Oryctolagus cuniculus: one gene and its partner. The protein of the gene in region 1 purifies or fractionates together with the protein of each later gene. This does not show direct contact. Links are inferred from orthologs where the notes say so. Each region holds a gene or a part of one and is shown on either strand. Other genes may lie near its edges.

What was found.
Region 2: the proteins of LSM4 (region 1) and PRMT5 purify together in Homo sapiens (co-immunoprecipitation; 3 studies listed by BioGRID and IntAct, with this or other methods). This does not show direct contact. The link is inferred for Oryctolagus cuniculus from reciprocal best matches to the Homo sapiens genes LSM4 and PRMT5.

The regions. Positions count from the first base shown.
Region 1 is NC_091447.1:65,592,604-65,595,426, reverse strand, and holds the end of LSM4 (U6 snRNA-associated Sm-like protein LSm4), read left to right. Parts: intron 1-144; coding exon 145-186; intron 187-408; coding exon 409-507; intron 508-1,505; coding exon 1,506-1,689; intron 1,690-1,872; coding exon 1,873-1,964; 3' UTR 1,965-2,291; downstream 2,292-2,823. UniProt on the Homo sapiens protein: Plays a role in pre-mRNA splicing as component of the U4/U6-U5 tri-snRNP complex that is involved in spliceosome assembly, and as component of the precatalytic spliceosome (spliceosome B complex).
Region 2 is NC_091443.1:52,081,921-52,085,666, forward strand, and holds the start of PRMT5 (protein arginine N-methyltransferase 5), read left to right. Parts: upstream 1-1,429; 5' UTR 1,430-1,638; coding exon 1,639-1,748; intron 1,749-1,774; coding exon of another isoform or gene 1,775-1,833; intron 1,834-2,383; coding exon 2,384-2,502; intron 2,503-2,815; coding exon 2,816-2,901; intron 2,902-3,069; coding exon 3,070-3,204; intron 3,205-3,746. UniProt on the Homo sapiens protein: Arginine methyltransferase that can both catalyze the formation of omega-N monomethylarginine (MMA) and symmetrical dimethylarginine (sDMA), with a preference for the formation of MMA.

The sequences.
Region 1 (2,823 bases):
TCAGGGTGGCCGCGCTGGGGCGTGGGCGTGGCCGCCGGGGGGTGGGGCTTCTCTGGCAGAACGACGGGGGGGGGGGGGGGGGGAGTTTGGGGTTTCTGGGATGCCGCCCCGGGCCGCACAGTCCCTGGCACGCTTGCCTTTCAGCTTCCCCTGTCGCTGCTGAAGACGGCGCAGAACCACCCCATGGTGAGTGTGCGGGGGCCCTCCCGCCCTCCCGTGCGCAGCCCTGCGCCCGCAGCAGCCGGGAGCTCCCTCCAGTCCCCCGCGTGGGTGGGGGGTGGGCGGCAGGGGGCGCAGGGACTTGGGCTGGGGTGCGCACGCGCGGGAGGTGGTCCACGGGCCTCGCGGGGTCGCAGGGCCAAGCCGGGCCCCCCGGGCGTCTACACCTGCGGCCCCGACTCCCGGCAGCTGGTGGAGCTGAAGAACGGGGAGACGTACAACGGGCACCTGGTCAGCTGCGACAACTGGATGAACATCAACCTGCGGGAGGTGATCTGCACGTCCAGGGTGAGGCCCGCGCCGCCCCGCCCCCCTGCTGCCCCGCCCCGTGGGCGTCACCCGGCCAGCAGGAGGAGGGCAGTGCCCCCACCGCCGGGACCTACCGGGTGATGTGGGAGGGGCGGGGCGGCTCCCCAGGACCCACTGAGGGCCTCCCCCCGGGCTGTGAGCCCCTGCAGACCCCGGGGTGGCCGCCAGGCCTGGGCTGCCCCGCCTCCCGGTGGGAGGTGCTGGGTCAGACCCCGGGGTGGGGTGGGGTGGGGTGGGAGGGACCCGGCGCCTCCCCAGGGTTGGCTCAGCCCCCGGGCCCTGCTTCCAGATCCCCGGCGCCCGCGGGGAGGAGTGACGTCCCGGCCTGTCCTTGGCCACTGTGGAGCCAGCGTGGCGCTGGAGCTGGGCCCCATGGGACCGCCCTACTTGTGTCTGGCTGGCCTTGGGGTCCCCACTGGGAGCCCGCCCTCAGCGGCCTCGGCCGGCGACGCCCACCCAGCCGCCCGGGGAGCAGCTGACCGGAGGGGGGGTTCTGGCCGGGAACAGCGCCTGCAGGCACCGTGCGGGGCTGGTGGCCAGGGCGGGGCCGGTCCCGAGCTGTGTGGACCTTGTCCCTGTGCAGGGGCCCGGGCGGGGGTGTGGCCGGGAAGTGCCAGGATTGCATCTGTGGGACAGGGGCACACAGGGCTGTGGGGTGGGGGCGGGGCGTGCTGGGGGTGCCCCTCTCGGCCCACGGCACCGGTCACTGCCCCGCTGGGCCGTGGCTCCGTCGGTGCCCTGCTCAGGCCCAGAGACAGCTCTAGAAGGGGGGCTGTGGGCAGGGGGAGTGGGGGGTGGGAGAGACCCAAGCAGCCTCACTGGGGGCGGGGCTTCCTGGCTGCCCAGGGGCCAGACAGGCCCTGCGCGGGGGGGGGGGGGGGGGGCGCCCGGGGGGGGGGCGCCCCCCAGCCTCGGCCCTGGCCGCAGCTCAGGGACCCTCCGCCGGGCCGGGCGTTGACGCGCTGCCTCCGGCCCAGGACGGGGACAAGTTCTGGCGGATGCCCGAGTGCTACATCCGCGGCAGCACCATCAAGTACCTGCGCATCCCGGACGAGATCATCGACATGGTCAAGGAGGAGGTGGTGGCCAAGGGCCGCGGGCGCGGGGGCCTGCAGCAGCAGAAACAGCAGAAGGGCCGCGGCCTGGGCGGCGCCGGGCGAGGTGCGGGCAGGGCTGGGCGGGGCGGGGGAGGTGCGGGCGGGGGGGGGGGAGCGGTGCTCCCCTAGGCCCTCAAGCCCTGGTCCTGGCCAGTGGCGGAGCCCCTGTCCTCCCTGGGCCCTTGTCCCGGCCCCCGCCGCACAGCTGGGGAAGCTGAGGCCAAGCCGCCTCTGTCCGTCCCTGCAGGTGTGTTTGGCGGCCGGGGCCGAGGCGGGATCCCAGGCACTGGCCGAGGCCAGCCAGAGAAGAAGCCGGGCCGGCAGGCGGGCAAGCAGTGAGCCGCGCCCCCCGAGACCGAAGCCCTGCCCCGCTGCGGGACCCTCTCCTTCCGGCCGGGCCGCCTCGCCCCCCCCCCCAGTGTGGACACCTGTGTGGTGGTGTTGGTTTTGTGAAGCCCCCGCCCCGAGGCCGGCCCGGCTCCGTGGATAGCTCCGTGGATAGCCCGGCCTGCACCTGCTGGCACGGCCCAGGGCCGGCCCCTCCCGCACGGCGACAGGCCCGCGGGGGCCGTAGTGTCGCCTTCCAGACGGAGTGGACGGGGCCGGCCCATGCGCCTTTGCTTCCATTTCTCTGTGTTCTGAAAATAAAGCCCAGTCCAGCCTCAAGGCCCCTCGGCTTGCGTCCGCCCTGCAGCCCTTGGGCCCCAGGAGACCACATCTGGGGGCCCCGACCCGGCCTGGGGGCTCCACAGGGGCTGGGGGGGTCTCCCGAGCTCCTGGCCCGGCTTGTCCTGCGGCCCCTCCCGTCTTGATAGAGAGTCGGGGAGGGGGCACCCTGGCTGGAGCCACTGTCCGGCCCGCTGCCCCCTCTCTGTTTTCCCACCAGGTGTCACCTTGGTGATCGCCCCCCAACCTCAGGGGGGGCAGGGGTTCCGGTCACGGCCGGGGGGGGGTGACGCAGGGGAGGCCTGGGTCCCCGCTTGGGCGTTCTCCGGTCACGGCCGGCCGAGGCCCGTCTGGAGGGGCGACAGCATTGGAGGGACGTAAGTGCAGCCCCCACGGCTTGGGGCTCCCGGCTCTGCGGCCCACAGCTCCGTGGTGGCGGCGTCTTAGGGGCCGGCGCCGTGGCTCAGCGGGTGAAGCTCCGCCTCGACCCCCCAGGACCGCTGGTTCCAGTCCCGGCTGCTCCCAGCCAACG
Region 2 (3,746 bases), on another chromosome or scaffold:
CCCTTGATGAAATGAGGAAATGATATTCGGCCTCCATGACCTCCCCAAACCCATAACATCAGATTCCAGTAGAGGAGCATTGTATAGTCTATCTGGCCAATACCATCAAACTATCAAGATCATCAGAGACAAGAAACAGCTGAGAAACTGCTACAGCCAAGAGGAATCTAGAGAGATGTGACAATTAAATGTAATATGGGATCCAGAAGTACACAAAAAGTCTGGTAATAATAACAATAATAATAGAAGACACAGCATCTCCAACCCCTTCAGGCTTCATGGTGCATTTTCTTGGCGCTTTGCTTTTCTGACTCTCATCCGTTGGGGGCACTTAAGTCGCACCCAGGACTCGTGGGGCTCATCCCCTCCTGCTCCCTTTCCGGGTTTCCCAGGCCTCTGATCCGCACCGGCTACGGTCAGCTCATCACTCTCAGGGCTTCGTTAGCTACCGTTCTTCCGGCGGGCTCCAGATCCTATTCGGTTCAGACCACGGTTCACCCAGCTCTGTTACACAGCGCCCCCTAGACATCCACTTCAGCACGTCCAGACCCAAACCCCGATTCTCTACGAACCGCAAGGACTGACAGAACCCTGGGCTATCACCCGCCTAACAAGCGGACCCCAAATTCTGTTAACGCCCCCTGCGTAGGGTTCTCGTGCTGCGATCACCTCTCCAGCCCTCAGTGCTGAACCTGTGGGCTCCCTGCCTTCAGGGGTCTCCATTTCCCTCTCTCCGTCTTTCCTTGCTTCATTCCTTTCTTTTTTCCCGTCTCTCTCCTGTAAAGGGAAAATGCATTTCCATGATTCCCGTCCACTGCAATCTCTCACTAAGAATTGGTTTTCTCTACCTCGAGGGGCTGTGAGTGTGCGCTTAGGTGTTGATTTACACCTTTTTGTGTTTGAGACACAAGCACTATTAAACACTGTCAGTTATCACAATCTATTTAAAAAGGTTAACATAGTAAGGGGACAAATCTTGTTTAAACAGAACCCCAGCCATTAACCCAGTTTAGTTGGGTCTAAGCAATGACACAAGGAACACATTTGAAAGAGGTGACGGAAAAGGTTAAGTAAAGATGGCTGTAGGACCCAAGTAACTTGGGACCTGAAAAGTGAGAGGGTGGAAAGAAGTAAAGCTTTCAACAGTGAAGGAAGGAAAACGGAAACCACAATTTCTGGGGAAGGTGATGCAATAAAGGAGTACCAGTCCCAACGAGCCAGCCAGGAGTCGAACCTGGAATCTTCTGATCCGTAGTCAGACGCGTTATCCATTGCGCCACTGGCCCTGAGACAATCGCGCTGGGCTCTGTAATGATTCTTCAAGCTTACAATGCAGGGTTTCATGGGACGTGTAGTCCCTCGGCGGCATTCGGCGGCTGCACAAAGCATTCTGGGAGATTCGGGTTCGTCACGAACCAGACCCTGAGATTGGTAGATCTGCAGGAGCCACGCCGTACGTCACGGTGCAGCCCGCGGATTGGCGGGAAGAGTCACTCTCCACCCCTCCGTCTCTTGCTCCGGAGCTGTGGAGGACGCTCTGGTTGTTAAGGCGACTCGTCCCGCCTTCTCGGGGCCTGGTTCAGCGTGTGATTGGTTGCTAATATCAAGGAATCCCGGCGTGGAGAGCGCGAGGGAAAGATGGCGGCGATGGCGGTCGGGGCTGCCGGTGGGAGCCGCGTGTCCAGCGGGAGGGACCTCAATTGCGTCCCCGAAATAGCTGACACACTGGGGGCTGTGGCCAAGCAGGGGTGAGGGCCAGACCTTCGCGGGCGGAATGCAGGGTCCGAACTCGAGGACGGAAAAGGGCAGGCTAGTCATCCCCGAGAGGCAGGGGTGAAGGGGCCGGATGGGACGAGGGCGTGAGAAACCCCATTACTCCTGAGAGGAGCAGCTTCGGCCCGGCGGGTGGAAAGTTAGGGGAGTCGTGTGGCCTCTTAGTCCAGAAGTCGGGGGAGTTGTCGGGGATACAAAAAGGGGGCATACAGCCAATCCCCTAGGGCTCCGGGGGTAAAATGAGTATGCGGGAGTAGGGGGAAGTGTTGGGGGCAAAGGCGAGAGGAGGTTCATGTGCAGGGAGGGTAGGTGTAGGTAGCCCTGGGGCAGCTCTGAACATCACAGTCCTGGAAAGCCAGTGACCCCAGAGTAGAGAGAATGCTACTTGGCGTGGATTTCCGTCGTTTTCCCTTACTCATCTTTTCCCTGCCTGTGTTTTGGGGGAGAAATTGAGGCACGGTGCAGGGAAGTGGTATGTCCCAGGATGGGCTGCAACCAGGAGCCAGCGCGGTGACTGGTGGCATCTGAAAGGGCTGTGCGCAGTTGAGGTAGCCTAAGTGCAGTGCTTGGCTCTCTTTACATGATGATTCTGGGTCTGTCGCGGTTGTAGGTTTGATTTCCTCTGCATGCCTGTCTTCCACCCGCGGTTCAAGAGGGAGTTCACTCAGGAACCTGCTAAGAATCGGCCGGGCCCCCAGACACGATCAGACCTACTGCTGTCAGGAAGGGGTAGGGACCATCCCATATGCCCCTTAATTGTTAGCAGCAGTAACAACCTCTGCTTTATCAGAGCCCTCGTTCTCCTCCTTTTCTGACTTGGATATATTGGATAGCCCCTGGGATCTAGGGAATTCTCGTTTTCTCCTTGCTTATTTGCTAAAAGCCTTAGTTGCCTATTCTGCATCAGACTATCCCATGTCTGTGGTGGAAAATGCCTTTGTCTCTCATCTCTATTTTCTGTTCCCTACCAAGAACTAGAAATTGAACCAGTACAGTACTGAACCTCATTCAGTTTTTGTCTTTCCCGGGTGGGGGAGTGCAGACTGGAATACGCTAATTGTGGGAAAGCTCTCTCCATGGATCCGTCCAGACTCGAGAGTGGAGAAGATCCGCAGGAACTCGGAGGCGGTAAGACAGTGTTTGACCTCTCCTGGAGCGTTCTAAAGATGACCTCTGTACCCGAGCTGGGTGGGAGAGCGTTTTTCCCTTCCATCAGTTACAAAATCAACTAACAGAATGCAATGAAAGCTATTTGGAGGTTAGCTCTTAACATTTTCCTCCCGTTCTCCATTCCAGGCCATGTTACAGGAGCTGAATTTTGGGGCGTATCTGGGTCTTCCGGCTTTCCTGCTGCCCCTTAATCAGGAAGATAACACAAACCTGGCCAGAGTTTTGACCAACCACATCCACACTGGCCACCACTCCTCCATGGTATGGTCGAGGGTCTCTTTTTCCCACTGCATATCATGGTAGTCAGGCTCTGTGCGGGAGCTTCTTGGGCCTGCCAGTCAGTGAAGCGGGAATTTGGCAGAATGGAAATTATTGCTCACTCCCCTGCTAACAGACAGTTTCACAATATCTCATTATTTCTTGAAACTTTACAATTGAAACACAAGGCAGATTTTTTTTTTAAGGGAGGTAGAGTTACAGAGAGAAATATCTTCCATCTGCTGGTTCACTCTCCAAATGGCCGCAGCTAGGCTGATCCAAAGCCAAGAGCCAGGAGCTTCTTCCAGGTCTCTCAAGCACTCGGGCCCTCTTCTACTGCTTTCCCAGGCCATAGCAGAGAGCTGGGTCGGAAGAGGAATGGCTGGGACTAGAATCTGTGCCCATATGGAATGCCAGCACCTTAGACAGAGGCTTAGCCAGCTACAGCACATTGTTGGCCCCACAAGGCAGATATTTGCTTAAGGATATATACAGGATACATGTACAAAATCACAAATTGGGAAAACCATCTAAAGGGGTTAATT